2 linked regions of the Struthio camelus genome follow. The protein of the gene in region 1 binds, or shares a complex with, the protein of each later gene. Links are inferred from orthologs where the notes say so. Each region holds a gene or a part of one and is shown in the gene's direction. Other genes may lie near its edges. The genes, in order: OBSL1 and MYOM1.

Evidence for each region.
Region 2: the proteins of OBSL1 (region 1) and MYOM1 are in contact, whole or in part, in a crystal structure (PDB 5FM5), measured with the Homo sapiens proteins. The link is inferred for Struthio camelus from reciprocal best matches to the Homo sapiens genes OBSL1 and MYOM1. Residues at the interface, in NP_056126.1 of Homo sapiens: Pro243, Lys253, Phe255, Val257, Asn258, Gly260, Lys261, His262, Ala263, Lys264, Phe265, Arg266, Cys267, Tyr268, Val269, Met270, Gly271, Lys272, Pro273, Pro275, Trp279, Lys305, Tyr308, Tyr317, Cys319, Ala321, Arg322, Asn323, Ser324, Ala325; in NP_003794.3 of Homo sapiens: Arg616, Pro617, Ser618, Ala619, Pro620, Trp621, Thr622, Gly623, Gln624, Ile625, Ile626, Val627, Thr628, Glu629, Glu630, Glu631, Pro632.

What each region holds. Positions count from the first base shown.
Region 1 is NC_090947.1:27,735,320-27,746,552, forward strand, and holds the start of OBSL1 (obscurin-like protein 1), read left to right. Parts: upstream 1-6,281; coding exon 6,282-7,329; intron 7,330-8,781; coding exon 8,782-9,051; intron 9,052-9,246; coding exon 9,247-9,507; intron 9,508-9,900; coding exon 9,901-10,206; intron 10,207-10,655; coding exon 10,656-10,934; intron 10,935-11,233. Other genes in the region: INHA (inhibin alpha chain), read right to left, coding at 989-1,722, 2,939-3,305. UniProt on the Homo sapiens protein: Core component of the 3M complex, a complex required to regulate microtubule dynamics and genome integrity. It is unclear how the 3M complex regulates microtubules, it could act by controlling the level of a microtubule stabilizer.
Region 2 is NC_090943.1:118,820,155-118,832,363, forward strand, and holds the start of MYOM1 (myomesin-1), read left to right. Parts: upstream 1-7,435; 5' UTR 7,436-7,609; intron 7,610-8,931; exon of another isoform or gene 8,932-9,116; intron 9,117-11,099; 5' UTR 11,100-11,159; coding exon 11,160-11,590; intron 11,591-12,209. UniProt on the Homo sapiens protein: Major component of the vertebrate myofibrillar M band. Binds myosin, titin, and light meromyosin. This binding is dose dependent.

The sequences.
Region 1 (11,233 bases):
CTTGCTTGCAGCGCCACGCATACCGCGGGCCCCACGACCTGTGCAAGATCCCGGCCCGGCCTGCCCCGGCACACCCCGTCCCTTGTCCCCAGGCCCGTGTCCCCGGCCCCGTGTCTGCCCTGCCGCGAGCTGCCCCTGCCTGCCTCTTGCCAGGAGCACGGCGGGCAGTTTGCATCTCCGAAACCTGCAGGGACCAAGCGGCCTCGGGCTAGCAGACCGCTGATGGGAGCGACCCAGCAGCTCTCTGGACTTGGGTGCCCAACCGGGGCGTGCAGGGAGTCAGGGCTTGGCTTTATGGGACTTCTCAGGTGGCGCCTGCTCCTCCTCGAGGCCCTGGGACCAGGCTCGGGGGGGCTTCGCTGCCACGTCCCCCCCAGCAGCAGCGAGCTGCCGCGTGGTGCTGCAGGTGCCACCGCAAACCGTGCCCCAGGTGCCCTGACGCCTTCGGGCTGCTTTGCACTAAGCAGCAGGAGGGGGACCTGCTCGCGCGTTCCCAGTCTCTTTTGGGGACAAAGTGCTGGGGCAGGGACGGATGGGAAGAAACATGGGATGAGCTGGTCGGAGATGCAAACCTGCCTTTGGGCTGGCGGTACGTATCTGGCAGCTCCTCTGCAGAAGGCTGCGCCTGTCCCGATCCCCTGCGCCCCGGCCCGCGCCGTGCGGGGAAGGGTCCTGGCGCGGGTTTGCCAGGGTGAACGCCCCGCCGGCGGGAGCGCTGAAACGCTGGGTGGCATGGGGGCTCGTGGGGCAGGGCGCTCCGGGTCCCCCTCTCGTCCCCGTCCCCGAGCAGGGGACGGCACCGCGGCGTGGGGCAGGGCTCCCTCGTGCCAGTGACTCCTCCGTCGCCCTGGACGGGATCCTGGGCTGCCCAGGGCTTTGGGGCAGGGCGAGGGAAGGCCGGGGCCGCGGTCCGGGGCAGGGCTGCGGCTGGGACGTGCCGGGGCGGGAGGGAGCCCCTCGCGCGGGGCCGAGCGGGGCGAGCCGGGCGCTACACGCAGGTGCAGTCCTGGGCCAGGATGTTGGGCACGGTCTCGTACTTGAAGGAGTAGCCGCCGTCGGAGGTGGTGCGGACACGCAGCGAGCGCATGGTGCCCGGCAGGGCGGCGCAGCAGAGCTGGACCCCCAGCCGGTGGCTCAAGCCGTGGCCTTCGGAGCAGCTGCCGTGGCAATAGTGGAAAACGAAGCTGCTGGGGTGCACGATCCAGTTGTCCCAGCCCAGCTCCTCGAAGGAGATGTTGAGGGAGGCCCGGCGGCAATTGGTGTGGGCGGCCACGTCCTCCGACGGGCGCTGCAGCAGGCCGAGGGCGGCCGGGGACCAGGGCACGGTGGAGCGGCGAGCCCGCTCGCTGCCCTTGGCCCGGGTGGTGGCCACCAGGAAGGGCATCTTCTCCCCGTCGGCCAGGCAGGGGCAGCCGGGGCAGCGCACCAGCAGCACGAAGAGCGGCTGCGAGATGTGGGGCAGCAAGGCGGGGGCGAAATGAAACACCGTCCAGTGGTCGGGCGCCTGCACCGCCGTGGCCACCACGGGCACGCGGCCCTGCGGCGACAGGGTCAGCACGTCCGGGGCCGAGTGGTTACGGGCGGCCGCGGGGCCGGTGTAAAACCAGAGCTGGGCCGATGTCACGGCGCGGCTGAGGGTGTGGGGTGACGGCTGGAAGAGGTAGGTGAAAATCCCTTCTTCCTCCAGCAGCTTGTCCGGCTGCGTGGGCTCGCAGGGCACGTCTGCAAGGGGAAAAAAGCACCGGGGTGCTGCAGCAGGTGCCCGCGCCGGGGCACGCCGCCAAACGCCCTGCGCCCTGACCGCGTGCACAAGCCGCCGGGACGGGGGAAGGAGGCACCCCAGGGTGTCCCAAAGCAGGGCGAGAGGCTGGGGTGGTGCAGAGGGGGTCCCCGAGGGTGCCCGCCGCGCAGGCCTGGCGGCGGCCGGGCGCGGGGCAGCTGACATCTAGCGCTGCGCAGCAGCTACTGCACGGCACGGCGCCGGCCGAGCAGGTGCCTGCGCCGCGGCTCCGGGAAGGGCTGCTGCCCGGCGCTTCCCCGGCCTCGCGGACAGCCGGCAGGCTCAGGCCCACGGGGCGAAGCGCCCGCCGCCGGGGGGCTTGGAGCCTGTGTTGCGTGGGCAGGGTCGGGGCTGGGGCAGCACGTCCTGCCCCTCGCGGGCGTTCGGGCTGGGGAGCCCCGTGTCCCCGGCGGCTGCGGCAGAGCGTGGGCTCTGGCCGCCTTTCGGGGCAGCTCAGTCTGACCCTGCGGGCTGCGGAGGGGGACTGAAGGCTGGCAGAGGCTTGCTGGAGGCTCCCATGGGGTGTGGGGCGGAGAGGGGGTCCCAGTGTGCCCAGCGTGGGTTGCTGTCCCAGTGGGGAGGCCGTTCTGCCCCCCGCTCCCGGCCAAGCGGCAAGATCTGCCCGGGGGACAGCCAGGGCTGTGCAGCAAGCAGCTCCCTGGGGCCGGGGCAGGCTGAGCCCTGGCGGGAGGCCAGCTGTGCCCCTCTGCACCCTAGGCTGATCCGTTAGTGCTGCTCAGTCCCCTAGCATCCTGCCCCCATCCCTTTCCATCCTGCCCCTGTCCCTTAGTGTCCTGCCCTGTCCCCTAGCATCCTGCCCTGTCCTCTCCTCATCCCTCTCCGTCTCTCTGCATCCCAGCTGGCTCAGGCAGTCCCCAGCCTGTCTAGCTGTCAGCACCCTGGCCTGCCTCTTGTGCCCCTCACCTGCCCTCTGCCCCTCTCCCTGCCGGGTCCTGGGCTGACCTGCCTACCCCTGCCTGCCTTCCCCTTCCGCCTCATGGCTCTCCGTCACATTTCAGCCACCCCTACGTCCCAGCCTGGCTTACCTGCTTCCTCTGTCCCACACCAGCATCATAGTCCTGCTGCATGCTTGATGCCCTGACCCACCAGCCCAGCTTAGCTCTTCTGCCCTCTCCATCCTCACAGGGGCTTTCTCACCTGTGGATGGGAAGAGGATCACCTGGGAGGTGTCCTCCAGCTCCTCGTGTGGGACTTCTGGGGTCTCCAGGACGTCTCTCCGATGCATCTTCCTCCCCTCCTGCCGGGGCCCCTCCTGGGGTGCAGGGGGGCTCAGATGCTCCAGCACCCGTGCCCGGACCTTGGCCAGGATGAGCTGCCGGTCGGCGCCAGCGCCGGTGCAGGCGGCCAGGGCGGCGGGGGGCAGCATGGCTGGCAGCAGGTGCAAGAGGAGCAGCATGGCCGCGGGGCGTGCGGTGGGCCGGCTGCTCGGGGGGCTCTGCCGTGGGTGCCTGCCTGCAAGCCCAGCCCGTCTGCCCACTGCGCGCCGCCTGGGGCACGGTGGCATTGAGACGTATCTGACACTGACGCAAACGTCTGCTCGCCGTGAATATTATCTCTGGGCAGCGAAAGCGCTGAGACGTCTGGAATGCAAGGACTGCAAGGACAGTGTGGTCTGGGGGGGGGGGAAGGCGCCCAGGGAGGGGGGCGCGGGGGTGATGCTGCCGGGGCAGTGGGTGCACGGGGCTGGGGGAGGCCAGGCTGCAGGCAGCGTGCTGCCGTGAAGGCTTTGCTGTGCCAGTGTGGATGGAGGGGCACCCTGGGGCGAGCGTGGCAGCTGCCGGTGTGGGGTGTCCCCATGCTGGAGCAGGGTGAGGGAGCTGCGGGCTCAGGGCTTCTGGGGGCACAGGGGGAGGTGATGGTGGCTGTGCTGGGTGATGAAACCTGGGCAGACACCTAATGTGGTCCAGAACCTTGTGAGGCCCAGATGTGGGGAGGGACTTTAGGGGTGGCAGGCTGGGCATGCTTGTGCTGGAGATGTCTTGGTCACCTCGAGGTCGTTGGGGAGCAGGGACATGAGGAGGGAGCCCGAGGAAGGACAGATTGGGGAAGGGGGAACTGCGGCATCTCCAGGGCAGCCTGTGGTGGGCAGGAGGCGGCTGACAAGGTCCCGTGATACGAAGCAGGAGGGATGGGAAAAGGACCCCGTGCAGCCTGGGACAGGCAGTGGCCAGGGAAAGGCTGGGCCAGCCTGCGATGGAGTTGGAGGAGGAAGAAGTGAGGCAGAGCTGAGCCAGCTGGAGACCCTACAGTAGCACCAGGTGAAAGAGGCCACAGTGCCCTTTGGGTTGCCTGGCTGCAGACTTGCTCCTGGGAGCTGGAGCTGCCTGATGGCAGCTGGCTGTGAGGGGACCCCCTCCCCCCCCCAGTGCATCCTGCCCTTCTTCCTGCGGCTGCCTGCAGGGACAGTGACAGGAGTCTGGTGTCCAGGAGTCTTGTCTCCAGGAATCCTGCGTGTCTGCATGGTGGGATGCAGCTTTTGTGCCAGCCCACTCCTGCAGCAGCCCAGTGTCCCATGCAGTGCATCCTGTGTGGCACATCCCATCCCGCTGCAGCCTGGCATCCCATGCAGTGTGTCTCATATGGTGTGTCCCATCTCGCTGCAGCCTGGCATCCCATGCAGTGCATCCCCTGTGGCATATCCCCTCCCATGTGGTGTGTCCCATGCAGCATGTCCCGGGTGGCATGTCCCATCTTTGTTCAGCCTGGGTCCCACACAATGTGTTTTCTCCTGCGGCAGGCTGACCCCACACCGTGGCACCATTGAGCCTGCCGAACGCTGGAGCCCTGGAGGTCAAGGACTGTCTCCCCACTCCAGGCAGGGCCGCTCTCCTGCTGGGGCGCTATACATAGGCCAGCCCTTCCCAGCCAAGGCACTGAATGGAGCAGGCTCAGTCTTATCAGCCCAATGTGTCATCAGAGGGTATTTTTGGGGACAGCAGCTGCAGGCATTTGTAACGTTTGGTCCCTGCATGCTGACGTCCAGGAGCAGAGCTGGGGGAGGCAGCAGGAGCTGGGTGCCGGTGCTGGGAGACACAGGGAAGAGGCGAAGGAGTGAGGTACGTGTGTGGGGCAGGGGACTGTGGTGTGGGGGCTGCGTGGGGCAGGGGGATCGGGGGGACACGGGGGCAGCTGGAGGGGAGTAGCAGAGTGGCCAAGCCGTCGGGGCTGTGCCTGTCTGTGGGAGCTGCTGTTGGGGCAGCCCGTGGGACTAGAGGAGCATCTGGCCGGGAATGCCTCACTGAATGAATGCATTGCCTGCAGGTAGAGGTTTGGGAGGAGAATCTGGCCCTGGTCCCTCCTTCTTGGGGACCCCGGCCCCGTCCCACCCTCCCCTGCCCTTTCGCTCAGGCAGTATCTTGGCTTCTCTCTCCCCATGTCCTGCCCTGCCTGAGCAGTGCAGAGACACCTCTGCCCCCAGCCCCGGTGACGGTGTGGGCAGAGGCCAGGCAGAGAGACCACGCTGCCGCTCTCCAGCCTGTGATGATGGATATTGTCACCTGCGGGGCTGGGGGTCGAGTCGGTGTCTTGGCTGCCTGGCAGCAGGATCGGTCCCTACAGCGTTCCCTCTGCACCCCTGGGGCTTGAGCGCCTGGTTATTTCATTTAGAGTTACGGCTTTTGATACCTAATGGCTGGGGTGGGGGATCCTGCCTTTGCAGCCACGCTCTGGAGCAGGGACCTCCTCTCCGTGGGGAGCCCCTCTTTGCCCCAGGCAGGGAGCTCTGCTGGGAGCCCTGCTTCCCTGTCCTGCTGAGCCGGGGAGAAAGCACCCGGATCCGGCCGGATTCCCCCCCGCCCCCCGCCATGACAGCCCCTTATCAGCACCTGCGCCTGAGCCAGCCCAGATGCTGCAGGAATGTGGCTCTGCCACCACCCGATACCGCAGGAATGCCCCCGCGGGTGGGGACGGCCGGGGCTGGGGCCCTTCCTGCCTCGGCCCCAGCCCCTGCCCCATCTCCCGTCCCCGGCACCCCGCGTGGAGCTGCCTTCGCTCCCGTGCCCCATCCAGCCAGGGGCCCTGTGCTCCTGGAGCTGGGGGTCCTGTCTGTACGCATATACAGCCGGGGCTGTAGGCACCTTGGGGCACGAAGCACTGTCTTCTGCCACCTTTCCCACGGCTGTTGGGCAGAAAAATGGCTGGTTTGGGCTGAGGCTGGAGCATATTCAGGGAAGCGCCAAGTCAGGCAAACAGCATGTTCGTGGGGCGCTGGCATCCTGGCTCAGGCCCCCGCCGCCCCCGGGAGGGCTTGGGGCAGCCCGTGTCCCTGCAGCCCAGTGGGGCAGGGGGCTCGGAGCGAGGGGAGGAGATGCAGTGCTCCTGCTGTGCTCGCGGGGCGCAGGGGGTGCCTCCCGGAGGTGCCCCGCACCAGGGCCGTAGCTGGAGCCTCACCCCAGCCCCGGTCTGTCCGTGCATCGCTCCAGGTTGATGATCCCCGTTGCTGTCCCGCTGAGCTGCCCGCTGTGAGGCCGGGGAGGCCGGGATGGACGGGTTTGCAGGAGCACCCAGGTTCCTGGCCTACCCGCGCACTTTCACGGTGCAAAACGGCGCTGACGCCGTCCTGAAGTGCCAGATCGCGGGCGACCCCCGCCCCAGCATCCTCTGGGAGAAGGACAGGACCCCGATCGAACCGTCAGGCCGCTTCCATGTGGAGGCCAAGGGCAATGTCTACAGCCTGCTGGTCTCCCGAGTGACCCCGGAGGACAGCGGGCTCTACGTCTGCAAGGCCAAGAACAACGTTGGCGAGACCTATGCTGCTGCCACACTCAAAGTGGAGGCCGGGGAGCCCCAGGAGGAGGGAGACCATGAAAACAAGCCACCCGTCTTCCTGGTCCGGCCTTCGTCGATGCGGGTGTGCCGGGGGGAGGACGTGATGTTCACCTGCAGGGTGTCAGGGCAGCCCTGCCCGGTGCTGCACTGGGAGAAGGATGGGCACGAGCTCTCCGACCTCTTTGAGAGCAGTCATTTCTCGGTGGGGAAGGAGCCTGAAGACTGGCACTTCCTGAAGCTGTTCAGCGCTCGGCCCCCGGACGGGGGGGTCTACGTGTGCCGGGCGCGGAGCGGCTCCCGGGAAGCCCTGGCTGCGGCCGTGCTCCTGGTCGAGCCCCTGGCGCCGGGGCTGCCAGACGAGCGATCCCGCGGGTCCCCCGGGAACGGCCTGGAGCAGCCGGGAGAGCGGCAGCAGCACCGCCGCCGGCACGCCGCCGTCCAGAGCACCGTGCCCGAGGGCTGGGCGCTGCCCAACGGTGAGGTGCCTGCCGGCGTGCCGGGCGCCAAGGCGTTCGCCGTGAGCGCGGGGAAGCACGCCAAGTTTCGCTGCTACGTGACCGGCAAGCCCAAGCCGGAGATCGTCTGGAAGAAGGACGGGAAGCCCGTCACCCCGGGGCGCAGGCACCTCGTCTACGAGGACAGGGAGGGCTACTTCATCCTCAAGGTGCTGTACTGCAAGCCCCAGGACCAGGGGCTGTACATCTGCACCGCCTCCAACACGGCCGGCCAGACCCTCAGCGCTGTGCAGCTCCAGGTGAAGGGTAGGTACCGGCCCACGGGCCGCCGGGGCTGCGGGGGGCTGCGGGTGTGCTTTTGGGGCTGTTTGCCTAGCAGGGGCGCATCTGCGCGTGCACGTGCATGTCAGGGCACGCGGGCTGAGCAAGCGCTGCTGGGCTCCCCTCCCAGGGGCTCGGGCAGGCCTGGGGGCGCGCGGGGGCCGGGGCGCCTCTGGGGTCTGTCGAGACGGGGCCAGCGGCAGGCGTGGGCTGCTGGGCTGCCCCAGGGGCTGGTAGCTCCCGTGTTTGTCCCCCCGCCATGCCCCTCTCCTTGTAAGCAGAGGGGTGATGTTTCTAGGGGGCTGCGCGTGTCAGGCCGCGAGCAGGGAGGGGGCGCGACATGCTGGTGACAAATTCCCCTGCAAGCGCAGAGCAGCTTTGGCTGGGAGCCTTGCAGGGCACGGCACCAAGCGTCTGCGCTGGCGACAGCCCCGTCCCTCTGGCAAAGCCTGCACGGAGCCCCGCTGCCAGCTGGGGATGCCAGGACGGCCCCTCGCCGAGGGCGATGCAGCACCTGGCGCTGCCCCGCTGCCAGCCCGCCGGCGGCCGTGCACCCACCCCACGCGCAGCGCCGCCTGCCCGGACGCCTGCTGCGGCGTGCTGCCCTGCACGCTTCTGCATCCCCGGGAGCTCGCCGCTGAGGTGCTGGCGGCATCGCCTGGCTTTGCTGACCTGCGCCGTGTTTCCCCTCGCTCTGGGAAATCGCTCCCCGGGGCAGCGGCCGTCACAGGCAGCGGGGGCTTTTGCAGCGCCATTTGGCATTGCAGCACCATGAAGGGCCCCTCCTGGGAGGGGGTCTGGCTCCAACCCTGCTGCACGCCTCCCGCCCAGCTGCCGCGGCCCAAAATAGCGGCCAGGGGCAGCGCGCTGCCCTCTCCCACCCCGTGGGGCTGTGCGGACCAGCGCCGGGGGTGTTCGCCGGGGACACGTGTGGGGAGCAGGGCAGGGTGCTGCCCACACCTGCCCGGCTTGTGCCGAGGGCAGGGAAAATCCAGCCTGAGCCCTCGCCCGACCGGAGGACACGGACGGAGGCCGGGGGAGGATGCCCCAGCGTCCTGGAGGGACGGGCTGGCGGTGGCGGTGTCTGCTGTGGTGTCCAGGAACAGCCGGGGAAGCCGGGGACGATGCTGTCCCCGGGGCTGAGCTGAGCTGGCAGCCGGGCAGGCGCAGGCGTCCCAGCTGGGACGTTTGTCAAGGCGGAGAGCGGGGGCTTGGCCACTGCTGGCAAGCAGCGCTGTGGACTGGCCCCCAGTGACCAGGAGAGGCTGCGGGGCAGGGGGGCCCAGGGTTTGGTGTTATTTTCAAGCTGGCAGAGCCTTGCGCAAAGGGCCAAAGGACGGCGAGAGCTGGCATAGGGCACGGGGAGGGGGCCGAGTGGTGGCGGTGGGGGTGCTGGCCCCGTGCGCTCCTCAGCACCCGTCTCTCTCTTGGCTCCAGAGCACCGCGTGCGCTTCCAGGTGCAGCTGGCGGACGTGGAGGTGCAGGAGCGGGAGGACGCCGTGCTGGAGTGCCATGTGCCGCTGGAGACCATTCCCACCGCCTGGTACCTGGAGGACAAGGAGCTCCAGCCCAGCCCCAAGTACGTCATGGAGGAGCACGGCGTGCTGCGGCGCTTGACCATCCGCGACGCCCGCACCGACGACGACGGCATCTACCTCTGCCAGATGAAGGACAAGGGGCGCAGCGTTGCTGAGGTCTCCGTCCGAGGTGGGGGGCAGGCCCAGCTCCCCTAGCTCTACCTTCCCCCCTCCAGGCCAGGCAGCTCCCTGCTGCCCCCTGCATCTGCCCTCCCACTGTTTTGCCCGCACACCTCCACGTGCCTGCTGTTACCCCTCCTAGACTTCTTCTACCCCTCTCCTGCCCCTTGCTCCCTCCCCACCCCTCACCTGGCCCTTTTCTCAGGGGTGATCGTGAAGAGGTTGCCGCGGAAGCTGGACGTCATGGAGGGGGAGAACGCGGCTTTCTGTGTGGAGACGCGGGAGGCGGTGGAGGGGATCTGCTGGAGCCGGAACGGGCAGGAGCTGCAGGAGTCGTCCCACACCGTGCTGAAGAGCTTCGGCAGGACTCACCTCCTGGTGCTGGTGCACGTCACCCGGGAGGAGGCGGGCGTCATCTCCTTTGCGGTTGGGGAGTCTCAGACATCCTCCCAGCTCCGGGTCAAGTGTAAGCTCCTAAGGGACCCCATGTCCTCCCTCCTCCCCATTCACGGGTTGCTGACATGGAGGAGAGCCAGTATGGGCACCCACTGCACTGGGGATGTGACAGCTGTAATTGCTCTTTGGGGAATGAGGCTTTTAGCAGGGCCCTGGCCCCAGGGCCCCAGTCTTGCTGGTGCTCCACAACTTCCCATAGCAGGCAGCTTGGCACTATGCTGCACGAGTGCAAGGCCCCTGTTGAGCTGATGCTCTCCAAGCATGAGCAGCCTCTGCCATCAGAGAGAGGATCCTCGGTGGAAGAGGTTGCGCAGCCCCGTACTCACCCCTTTCCCTGCCTCGCTCCCCTGCTCGGAGCCTGGCTTGCAGTCTCCGAGGAGGAAATGCTGTCTGTGGGTTGCAGGTGTGAAGCGCGACCCTCCGAGCACCCCGGTGGCGGCCAGGATGAGCACGGAGCACAGTAACGCGGCACTGCTGACGTGGTGCCCTGCGCCCGACGTGCACCATCGCCCCCCCAGCAGCTACGTGCTGGAGCGGCAGGAGGTCAGCACCAGTGAGTGGGTGCATTGCCTCACCACCGACCTGGCCAGCCTGGTGGAGGTGCTGGGCGACAGCGTGCCCTGCGAGGCAGACTACCGTTTCCGTGTCTGTGCTGTCAACAAGTACGGCAGGAGCAGGCCCGTGGAGTTCCCCGGCTCCGTGCATCTTGGTGAGGGCTACAACTCCATCTGGGCCATGGGTCTTCCTTCGTCCCCCTCTGGGCCTCCCAGGCCGGGCTGAGACCTGGCTTTCCTTAGGAATCTGTTGGGATGGGCTGGACCAGCCCTTGACCTGCCTTCAGGACCAGCCTGTTGGCGCCAACTTTCCCAGCTGGTGGTCCTTGACCTTGTGAGCCAGCCTGCACAGAGCACTGCACTTAAATAACACACCCCAGACTGCTTCCAAGCTCTTCTTCCCGGGAGAGAATGGGATGGCCACTATGGCCTGGTCCTGGAGCTGCAGGGCAATTTTCCGCTGACACAGTCCAAGGGGATGGGTCCCAGATGCTCCTGGAGGCTGGATAGGGGCAGCAGGCAGCCAGGGTCAGCATGCTTCTGGGGTCTGCTGGCCCCTGGCACGTGCCATTGCTGTCTGGGGCTGAGTCCTGCCCTGCTCCAGTCCCGGCAGCTCGCCTGGAGAGAGGCCTGCAGGACGCGCGGGTGCGGGACGGTGAGGATGCGCACTTCTCCCTGGAGCTCTCTGCCTCGGTGCGGGGTGCCTGGTTCCTGAACGGCGTGAGGCTGGGCGATGAGGAGGCGGTAGGCGGCCGGTACTGCGTGCAGCACTGCAAAATGGAGCACTCCCTGCTGATCCGGGGAGTGCGGCTGGAGGAGAGCGGGGCCCAGGTCACCTTTGTGTCCAGCGGCATTCGGGACTCAGCCACGCTCCAGGTGCAAGGTGAGCAGGGCTGGGGTCTGGCAGGGAAGAGAGCAGCACGGGATGGAGGATGGCACATCGGTTGCAGTCACCCCTCCTGAGCTGTGGGTTGCCTGGGCTTTTTCCCATGTCCAGCACCCCCTCCTTAGAGTCACCTCAGGAGCAGGAGGTGGGCGAGTGGCCTCTGACGTGCTGTTGCCTCCCAGCCCCAGGTCAGGGAGTGCTGGCTTCCTGCAAGAAAGACTGGCTTTGCTCCTTTGAGCTGGACCTGCGGAGCACAAAGCACCTCTAAGCACTGTGGGCCGTAGAGGAGTTGTGCA
Region 2 (12,209 bases), on another chromosome or scaffold:
TCTGGAGAAAGCTTATATCTTTCCAGTTACCACAACTACACTGTGATTTATGCAAAGCAATAGTAACCATCATCAAAGTTAGGGGAAAAAAAGAGAGCGAGAGAGTGTTTCTCCTTACCAATTTGCAAATTCTGAATAATTTTATATTAAATATACCCATCATGTTTTCAGGCAAATATAAAATCTTCATACAATTTCCACATATAGAGATTCAGCAGTGACAATGAGTAGAAGAGATGCAGAATAGCTGGTATGAAACAGCAGACAGATTTTTAACAGAAAGATTTTGAGCGAAATTGGACAATGATTTTTTTTCAACACCCAGTTAAAATAACTGAAGCACTAAATGAAAAATAGTGCGGATGAGAAGCTGAGTCCACAAAACACACCAGGCTATCAGCTAAACTGTGCTACAGCTGGTGCTTTACGTAACAAAAAATGGTGAGTATATCACTTGTTTCTGGACGTAAGGGCCTGCCAAATTAGGATATATCTCAGCTATTTAGGACCTTGATTAAGGTCTCAGAAATCGAGCTACTGGGATAACATTTACCTATTTAAAAGCATGCAGTTTGGTAACATTATAAATGGAAAACGTTAAAAAAAAAATCTGCTTCTGTGCTTTATTTCTAAGGCCAAATTATGCGTGCTAAATCTTGTGGTTCAAGACTTTGCTAGCAATTTCTGCTAGCAGTACACCCGCAGCAGTGCAGAGATCAAGGCTGACTGCAAAACTCACCTTAAATTGATTAGCTCAGTAAGTACCAGGGAAAAAGCCTTATGGTGGGCTTTATGTTGCCAGAGCTACACCATCACTGATGCTGCACTTAGCTAGCTTAAAGCTAGCATGGACAAATCTGTATTCTGGGGTAGCTGTCATCAGGAAAAAGCTGTTATGCTTTCCAAGTCAGCTCCTTGTGGAGACAGAGAAGGATATTTTGATAGCTAGAGGCCATCTCCTGCTTTGTGCCCCCCTTTCCCCTAGGTACCTTTGGGTACCCTCTCTTAAGTCTCCCACTTCTGGTCACAAAGTTTTTCTTTCTTTGGCAATGAACCTGTAGTCCCTTTTCCTCAGGCACCACAGCAGCCAGAGGGGTTTGGGCACATCTATTGCCCGTATGGTGTATGTCTCTCATCCTGCCTTGCTGCAGCTTAGACGGTGAAAATACTGAAAGGGGTGCAGATACGTCTGGAAGTAGCTGTTTTTCACTGCTGGCATACACAAGCACAGTATTTTGGAGGAGTCCTTCTGCAATGTGGTGTGGCTAAATGACTTGGAAGAGTTGAGTTTGCTAGATTAAGATTTACATTTTGTCACTGCTGAGGTATAGTCTTGTGTGTGTGTGTGTGTGAAGTTATAAAACTGCTGGATTCTGAATCCCAGTGCTCAGAAATCTGGCAGCGGTTCTCTGCTCCTTTTCAAGCCCCCTTTTTTGGAGGAAGACTGCTATCACTATACTTATGTGTCCTCCTGAAGGGTAGTTCAGTGGAAGAGGCACGGGCATGCTAATAGGACACTGACCGCTGGTAGGAAGCCAATAATAAGCTGTAGAGAGAAAAACACACATGGGGACTAGTAATTTTGCACAGCTTAGAAAGTCACCAAATTCAAATTGACTTTCAAGGAGTCAGTAAAGTTCATACTCACGTCTCTAGAACTAGCATGAAACCAAATGGAGAGGTTTTACTATAAATCACAGAGAGTTATTCTAAAACTTATATTTTTTAAAATAGTGGGCTTGGTTAAACCATTACAACAACAACAAACGTTAAGGGGAAACATCTTAGAAAGGTTTTGGCAAAACTGTCCACTGTGTGGTTTCTCGTACCTTTTACTGACCATCTAGTACTGGCTACTGTCAATCAGGATACGGGACTAACCTTGCCTAGCAATTTCTTATGTTCTTCTCCTTTCTTTCTTAAGTATCTTCTCTTGGCTGATGCAGATCCCTTTTACTGCGGTCTCCAAACTTGAGTTTGCCCCAAATGTAGGAAATTTATCTTGTAGTGTAGATTGAGAAATGAGAATGCTAGTCCATCACACAAAAATCAGAGTCCATTCATTTCGAAGTTAAGTACACTGCTACCCTTGTGGAATATGACTGTACTGCACCCTGAAGCTACAAGCTATGGGAAATATATTTTAAGCACCCGGAAAAAGAAAAAAACTTTTAAAATAGTTTGATTAATTGCCTAACTATTTACAAAGGGTCCTGGCGAGTTTTCCAGTTGTCTCAAAATCCTTTGCTGCTGCGAACTAATTAGTTTAAAACTAAATCACACATGATAAATAATCACTAACATTATTTCTGACTTGTGCCTTTATCCTTCAGATCTTTTCCATCTTAGTTCCTCCTTTTCTTCAATGTATCATTTTCTGGTCTTCATATACTAAACTCCAGTTTATTTTCCTCTCTTCATCTTTCCTTCACTAGATCTCTTTCCATTAAGTCCTCATCTTCTGAAACAGTTTTTCATGCCTAATTGCTTTTGATGTTTTAAAACTCATGTCTCAGTCCTACAGGATGTATTGAATAAAACATTTGTAAATTTTGATGCAAATTTTCCTTGAAACTTTGTTCGGCTTAATTACTATATTTGAAACCATTTGCAAGTGTGATAGCTAAAACAATTCTTTTTTTTCTATCGAGGGACTCCCATGATCCTTTCCTATAGTAGAAATTGTTTGTTGTTTCAGAAGTATTTCAGCAAGTGATATGAAGACCCATAGGAGGAAAATGAGAGTTGTTATTATAGCCTACGTAGTGATTTGTATTAGCTATGCCTGAATTACTGTAGTACTGATCCTTGTAATATTGGAGGCTATTGCTTTGTATTAGTGTAATAGTGGCTTAAATCTGTAAGTAAAGCGATATCTATAGTTCATTTGCTTCGTAATGAAGTCATGCAGTTTAGAAGACTTTTGGTAAGAAGAATGGGAGAGACAATCAATACAAAGTCACCATCTAAGATAATGATAAATAAGTTATTGAACGATAAATGAAGGGACAAGTATCTAAATAATTTGGCCAGACTACTTACCTCATGTTTAAAAGTGTTTTAGTTCATTCTAAAAACTGTGTAACTAAATAGCAGGAGCTACTACCAGGAGCAGGAGTAAATATTTACAGCAGTCAAGTCCTCTACATGTGAGTTGTCGTAGTTTGAAACATCTCTTTGGTCCTTCAGCAGTCATCTGTCAAGATGTTTTGACCAGTCTTTCCAAGACTGTTAATAGTTCCTCAGAAACAGCTGATCTAGAAATAGTCTGTTGCTGCTGCTCTACTGGGGTAGAAAGCTGTAAGACAACCAAAGTAAAACACTTTTAAAAGTTGTTGGCTTCTTGGTTAGGGAGCAAAGACGTACTTACTACCTAAACTATTAGTAAGATGATATTCCTGGGTGACAGTTCTACATTTGAGACTAGCTGAGATAGCTGAAATGTATATATCCAATAGTAATGACAACCTGAGGAGATACCTGGAGCCAGACTTTTGCAATGATGTATCTTCAGCATTTGGGATTTTGGCTGTGCCTAACTGAACCCAAACGAAGATAAAATGGGTCTGTTTGCTGACAGCTTTTCATTTCATATTGTTATTTGTGTCTGTGGAATGTAGACGTAAATTGAAATATATGGAAGCAGTTTTTAAGCCAATCTTGTCCTGATTTCCCACAGGTATAAATATCACAAGCAAGGCAATAGGGAATCAAGTCCCGAGACTGCATGTCTCAGGTCAAAGAATCTGTTATTTTTTTCTTGAAAATGGTAATTGGAGACTTTTAGTTATGTCTCCCTGAGCAGTAGCGCATCTTGAGTATTTCTGGCAAACTTACCGTAACAGTAGGTGCATAGGACACAAGAATTCTGAAAGAGACAAAAGGCTAGCTATGGTCATGCCAAATTTTTAGGCAGAATAGCCTCAGGCTTTTGGCTGAAAAATAAAAAAAAAACAATATAAATATACCTGTCCGTTGGTTCTGTGAGCCTCATTGCTATGCCTCCCTTCGTTACGGGGTCATGCTACAATGAGTCACCAGTTCCAAAGCCACAGCTGGCTTACAGACTCATGGTAGGTCAAAGACAAACATCATATTTTGGGCAAGAATCCCTCCATTCTCATGTTGACTACACAGCAGAACATTTTCCCTGGATAAAGACATGCTATGTGGGTAAACTGATCTTGGCCTGCTAGGTCCCTAGCAGCTGCTGAGAAATACAGAGAAATGAGAACACTTCTAGTGCAAGATATAAAGCCAAATAGAGTAAGGATAACAGAAACTGTCAACCGTTACTGGAATAAAGGTACCGAAGGATATATGTTGTTTAGGAAAAACAGATGGATATGGGGTGGGACATCACTTAACATCCATTTGTTTTGATGTATTATATAAAATGAAAACAGAGCATATGGATGGATAAAGTATGGATATGCCAAAGACACTCTGAGAGATGATAAAAATTTTCTGTTGAGATAGTTCTAGGAGCCTGCCATAGATTCTGTGTCAGGTTTGAATACAAACAGAAATCTTACCATGTTGTGAGGAAAAATGAATGCTGCCAGCAGATGACTTATTATGGGACACTTCCAGCTGTCATGACGAGTTTGTGGAGCAAATGTTACTAATAATGAGAGGGCAAATAGTTTGTTAATGAAAAACCAATCTATACACCAACAATCAATAACTTGTAAGACTTCTGATAAAATTTTGCTTTAAAACAAATTTTGAGGAAAGAATTACCAAATTTTGGAGAAAAATGGAAATTTGGATGGAATGTGCTCAGTGATAATAAATCACATAGCCTATCAAGATCAGTACAAGCAGAATCAAGAACAGATCAAGGAACCTATCTTTTTTGTTACTATGATAAATAATTTCTAAACAGAAATACAAACTGATTTAATCCATCTAGATTTGATGCTGCGCCACCTGCAAAGCTTTTAATTAAAATGGGGGATTTACACCAGAAGTGCAGGGCAGACAAGAAAATGGCCAGAAGACCAATAACAGGTTTTGTTGAGAGGGAAAGAATCAGGTGGAGCAATTCTACTAGGAAAGGAATAAATAGTCTTCAGGCCAAGTTATTCAATATTTTTGCGGGCAACATTAGTAGAAAAATAAGAAAGTGCTGATGTAATTTGCTGATTGCATAATATTGAGATGCATCCACCATGCAAAGAAGGATTAGAATATGATACAGGAAGAGATGGATGGTAAGGCTAAGAATAATAAAGAGATAAAATTCAGTAGTACAAAGTGTCAGCTCATAAAACGTAAGATGCCATTAGATTTCCTCAGCTGGAAATGACAGAAGAGAAAAAATACCTGAAGACTTTAATCAGTCAGGATGAGTCACCAGATGTATATGTGAAAAAAGCCAATGCAATTATGAAAGCTATCGTTTGACATTTTTCCAGTGAAGCCAGAGATGTGTCACAGTAGGAGGGTAACGCTCTAATGAAACTTCCTCTGGAGTCCTGTAAGGCGCAGATCACCCATGGGGTAGGAAAAAGATGAATTCAAACAGGAACAGGCACAAAGAAGGATTAGTAAATGAGCAATGAAACGAGAAGCCTAACTTATGAAAAGGAGTAAAGGAGCTATTTATTTAGCTAAGCAGAACAAAAAGATGAGGGGGACATTTTTGCTCTCAAAATACATTCAGGGTAATAAGCATCAGGAAGGGAAAATAAATAGTCAGACTGATGGGCGATGTTAACACAGAGTTAGACAGGTCTAATCAGTCAGGAACACATTTAGGTGTGAAATAGGATATTTCCTAGCGATCAAAGGTGTGAAGCAGCGGCGATGAGAAAAATCTTTCTTTTTCAGGTGGGTTTTGCTAAATTTATGATGTAACGATTTTCCATCCCCGTCTGTCATGGCAGATAGTGAGAAGGAGAGCAGGCTGGTCTCCAATATGAGCAGTGGCAGTGGGGAATCTGAGACCAGAGATGGGACAGCAACTGAAGTGTCGACTCAGCGCTGAGAGTGGAAAACTCACACGGATGTTGGTTCATTTCACCCCTAATTTATTTCCCCCTACTTCTGCAGGCTAAAATACAATCTGAGGAATGCCTTTCTTGTTCAACATTTGTTTTCACCTAGGAGTGCAGCAAGCAAAGGGAGGGCTGGAATCACAGGCTGGCCCGGGGAAAGAAAAGGTCCTATTAGGGTTCCAGCTTTTCATTCCTCCAATTGCAGGTGTGGCCAATCTGTAGGGCTGTCCAACTTTTTACTGACCGTAGCTCCTGTGCTAGGGGGCAAACACCAAAAGCCCGTATGGTGAATCGAGGCTAGCAGTTCCCAGCGTGGCAGGTGGGGAGCCAGGTGACCTTACTGCACGGTGCAGCTTGAGGCAGGAGGTAGTAGCTGCCCAGGGAACAAGCAGCTAGTGGCAGGTTCTGGAAGTGTGGGAACCAAAGAGATTTTAGGTGGAATCAAGGAAGCTGAGGTGAAGAGGATACCGGAGAGACTTTATACAGAAGAGGCTCCTAGTCACAGGTCTAGTCCAGACCTGCTACTGCCACTTCCACCCAGAAGGGGGAATGCCTCAGAAAAGGATGATGATCTAGAAAGTTTTCAGCTGTGTTGCATGGTGGGTGGAAAACAACTAAGAACTGAGAGTTAGGGTTAACACCTCTCTCAGTGCGAATGTGCAAAATAATGCGGACTAATCATTTGTATTGAATATTAAGTATGCGGAGGAAAATATATATTTACAATAAAGTCACAGTGCATTCCACGTATTAAAGGCTATTTCCAGGTGACAGAAATTATTCTGCTGTAATATTCAGCAACAGTGATTGTACGTTTCTATGCCAAACTGCTGTAACTGAAATGAAAGAAGAAAAGCCCACTTAATTATCCCTGGTGTGGCAGAGATAATACTGTTTAGAGTTTAGAAAAAAAATTTGGCTCTTAAGGCTGCATTGTTTATATCTACTTAAATGCCTCATGAGGTCATCTGCTTAATTTAGAATTTTATCTTAAATAAGACGATGAAAACATAGCACTGTCAACAGAATAAAGTACACAGCCGTATAGTAACACCTCTATGGCTTTATAGAGTTTTGCTGAAACTACTCTATGTTGTCTGTCATTTAGCTGAAATAAGTACATGGTGCATGCACCATGGCAAAGGTCAATACTGAGATGGATCTTTCCTACTTCTGGTTCATGACACATTACATTTTCTTTTTTCTCTTCTAAACCTGATGTAACTTAGAAAAAAAAATCCTATAAATAATTGTGAATCGGAATACAGATTTTGCACTGAATGTAGTGAAGATACTTAAAAGGAGAGAACTCAGTTGGAAGCTGTCGTCATCATGTGCTTGCACAGAGACAGCGCAGAGTATCTTTATCTGTCTCTGTCTCTCCTCTCCCTCTTCGATGCTATATTTATCAGCCTCCTGGCCATAAAAGGTCTGGACTGGGGCTCTGGCATTCCACTGACCGCAGGCATTATTTTTGTTCTGGACTGTAAAGTCCAGTCCTTAGCCCTGGTCCTGACTACCTCTTTGCTGGATTCACCCTTGCTGTGTTTTTCTGTTATTCATCCACCTCAGAACTATTCCACTTGTTATTGTTCATTTGGGTCCCGGTAAGTGTTCCTTTACGACAGAAGAATGTACATGTTCAGCTATTTTTATTTTCAATCTGTAATGCCAAGCTGATAGTAGCTCCCTTTAATCTTCTCAGCTCAGCAGTTGTTTGAGGGAGTTGTGGAACTGAGTTGAAGAAATCTGCAGGTTCAGACAAAGCAAAGTAGTGCATTGGTTTACTTACTATCAACTCAGCTGTCCTTACAGATTGTTACGGTACTCTCAAATGAAGCCTGAGTTACTGAGATACAGGAGGAATTTGTTGTGTGAGTTCTTTGGCCTTAGGGAATGTGTAAATAGTCTAAATATTTTCTAGTTGCATGGGATGTTTTATGATTTGTAAAGGAGATGAAGTACTATTGACTGAGCTGAAGGAAATCTTACTTTTTTTTTTCTCCTGCTTATAAGCTTTTCTGTTTTTCCTATTTCACTGTTTTCACTAACAGATTGAGTTCATTTTTAAAGAATTATACAGACTGCTAAGTAGTGCAACAGATAATGCCAATAAAATAATTTCCTATAGTGTTTATTTGCAGCCTACAAACAAGTACAGAACTCTGTACTTGTAGGCTGTCTACTTAGCTGTCATTTTGAAAATTCAGTCCAACAGCTGGTAATAACGGCTCCAAAACATGAACTTGCATCTAGCTAATATTTTTAGGCCCGGCTCTGCAAATGTGAAATCCTATACAGATCTCAGATGGGGTGCTACCCTCATATGAAGGAGCCTGATTAGTGGGCCACACAGTAGGTAGACACAGGTAGTATGAATTTTGTAAAACATAAGGGATGGGAGCCAATTCCACAAGCAGACAGTGCTCTGAATAGGAGCAAAATCCTTAGGAGGTTCAGAGTTTCTTGTTATTTCCAAAAACGTTTACCTACTACATTGGATCAGACTATCGTAGCTGATCCTTACCAGTGAACAATGCTAGATGTTTCAGAGGAAATATAAAACAGTCACAGTGTAATAAAATACCTATGAAAAGAGTTTCCTCTTGTATCTCATGAGTAACCATTGGCCTTTGATTTGAACCGGGGGAGCTGGCTTCCTGTTCAGCTCATATCTTAGTGTCTTAGCTCTTACTTACATAAATGCATAATCCTTTTATGAATCCAACTCAGTTTTTCTGAGGCATAGCTTTAGTCCAGAGCTTTTGTATTTGGAAGAAAAAGGTTACCTTTATACATTTTAAATATGTTGACTTTAAATCCACTGATTCTTCTTTGCTGTTATAATATATAAATATCAATGTCTCATTTAACTTATCTTTAATATGCAATATATGCAGTGCTTTATACTTCTGGATCAGTTCCTTACCTTGAATCCTTAAGCTGTGGAAATCCCTGAGCCACAGGGACTGCATGGCTGTTAGTAGTGTGGCTGTTAATATCCATGACGAAGCTAACCAGTGCTGCAAATACAGCAGGTGAAGAAGGAAAAAAATTGTAGTGCTTTACAAATGGAAAACAGAATGTGCTCATGTTCTTCTTCTTTCCGTGAGTAGAACAAGAGTCATCTGTAGGATTTAACTTTGCTCAGCAGACGTCACACTGGCTTGCAATCCCTAAATCTAACTCTTTGGAGCCGGGAGAGAAAGCAACGAAGAAAAATAGAGAAGAAATGTTATAAAAGGAGGCAAATTAAGAGGAACTATATACCACTGGAAGCCAACAAAGTGAATCAAAAAGCAACACAAAATATTGATAGGTATTAGAAAAAAGGATTCTGTACAGATTCATTGGGTTTGCTAGACTTGTGTGCAAAAGGGCCATCAGGAGAAATAAGGAAATTAAAGTGAAGCATTAGTTTTCACTGCAGGGAACAATGAGCTAACAGTTTTTCCTATTCCTCCTTCTTCCTCAGGTAAAAATAGAGTAAATGGATTAGCTAGTCCCCTTGAATTCGTAGTTCCACTATGGTCAGGATATCAGAGATTTCTTTTATATACTTAAGGACTTCTGAATGACTTTCTCCGTTTATTGTTAACTTTCTGCAAACTGAGAGTTCAGTTCTATTATCAGTTGAAAAACAGTTCCTAGACCTTGAGTGGGTCCTGAAATTTAGGACAGTTGAAATCCTGTTTTTTTCTTTTCGTAATTTGTCTAAGTTTGATTAGTCATTAAAGAGAATTAACTGAAATTGTTCGACTTATTACCACAACCAACTACTAAAAACAAACCTGAGAAGCAAAATCTTGGCTGCGACAAAAGACCAGGGACAAAATTCTTGATTTCCATGGAATCAAGATTATACGCTAGCTCTGTAAACGTTTTTTCTATCGAAATATCAGATAAGCAGTTTCATTAACATGAATAAAAATAGATGTAGAACAAGTTCCATATTATTGTAACTGATGGGGAAAAAAACAGCAACAAGCACCTCTCACCGTTGTTTTTGGACGTTCGTTATACTTTTCTAAAAGTTCCCTCACTGCAGCTCACTTTTATTTGTAGCCATCTAGCTTCTTCACTGAAAGTCCTTTCCATCTTATAAGCCTAATCACCAATGGCAGGAGAAAGAAATGTTATTATGAGGAATTAGCATAGACAAGTTTCCTTGCCAGAGAAGACGATACCAGTTTTAACAACAGCAAAACAAAATAATAACAAAATAAAGGTTGGATTGTCATTTAAGAAACTAAAGGGGAATCCTTTCTGCCTTTAACCCTCTTCCCATTCTGAAAGGGGAACCACCTCTCATCTGATCAAATTTCCTACTATGAGACACTGCAAGATAATCTACTGATGACTGTGATCCCAAATGGCGATACTATCTGGAGGGAATTTCTTCAAGATCTTGAACATGCGGTTCTAGGTTAAAAAAGGGGTCTGACTGATGAACCTGATGGTAGAATTCTAATCGGTGCATACAGACTGTATCCCTTACTGAGCTGCAAAAGTATGAAAAGCTCTTTTAAATGAATTTCTAGTATCAAATAAAAAAAATGTAATATACGTTTACCAAACAAGGTGACATCCTTGTCAGTCTTACTGCTTTTAATTCACTCTTAAAATATTAGGCTGGATATTAAAAGGTATCTGAAAATTGAATTGCTAAAATGAATGAGATGTTCATATATTTTGATCTCAGCTTATAAAGTAGTGAATTTACCTTGTTAAAATCTATCATATTTTATTGTATTATTTATTACTTTATTCTCCTGTTTTTCATTTAACAAAAATATTTACGTTTTCTTTGAAGAAGCTTCCATAGTTTGCAATAACTAGGAGACCACAGTAAACTACAAATGAGCAGACACAATAGTATGAGGATTTCTACTCCTGATGAATGACGCATGAGCTTCTTGAAACCTAAATAGGAAGCCATCTTAAAGTCTAGGAAGTATTATAACCCTGTATTTGTTGCGTTTGACCTTTAAAGTTTTAAGTTTTGTGTTAGCTTATGTTAAGTTTTGTATTATATGTATGCTAACTCAAAAGTCTCTTTGAGTTCAGTCTTCATCTGTTTGATCTGTTCTCTTTCAGACACTGTCCTGCTATTTTTATATTCAGAAAAGTGCAGTAAAGCTAAATTAGAAGGCACTCATGATGTCTTTACCTTTCTACCAAAGACACCATGAGCATTATGACCGTGCATACCGCCACAAAGCACTGCAGTCCACTGTAAGCCAGTACCAAAAGGAAGCAAAGAGCAAATCTGCTGTCTATGCTCAAGGAGCTACAGCTTATAGTAGGGGCTCTGCAGCCTATCGCCATGCGTCTGCAGCAGACTACAGCCTTGAGTCTTCAGCAGCATATAGTCATGGCTCTTCAGCCCATGCCCTTGAGTCAGCAGCCTACAGCTATGGATCTACAGCCTATGACCGTCACTCTGCTGCACACAGTAAACGGTCTGCTGCCTACAGTCTTGACTCTGAATCCCTCAGCAAGAGCTCAGCTGCCTATAGTCATGGATCTGAATCAATCAATAAGCTGGCTGCATCCTACAGGCTGGGATCTGAAGCCTACAGTCTTGGGTAAGTAAATATTTGAAACAATATTCTGGAACAGTTTGCCCAGTCGCCTCCCATTCAAATCAATGGCAAAACTCTCCTTCTCTTTAGCAGAAATAAGTGCTGTAACTTGGTGTTAAAATGTTTTTCAAACTTGGTTCTGGGACTAGGAAGAGCTCTGGTTAGCTCAGCTTGTTGAAGCATATTTATGCTCCAAAGTGGCTAGGCATGAGCCAAATATCGTATAAAGTTGTTTAGCCATATTAACGCAGCTCAAGCTAATAAGCAGTGCTGAGATGGCTTTTGGTTTGGGGCTGTCTCTTGTCTGGTCGGGTTGGAGCAGTAAAAGAAATTGGGGCTGTTGACACAAGTTTGAGCTGACAGGTCCATATATCATGAAACAATTCTTCTTTTGCATAACAGTTTCATTTTTATGCTAACTGATTCAACAAATTGAATTTTTTGCACTGTAAATTGGCTAAGGCACGCTATTTTCAAAGCAAGAATACTGTGAAGTGTTCTTGCGCTAGAAGAACAGCTACGCTTAGCTATCGTATTTTCATTTAAACAAGATGATAAAATATTTCTTGAACAATTCCATTCATATACACTGCTATATTAGATATCGTAGCCTCACATTACT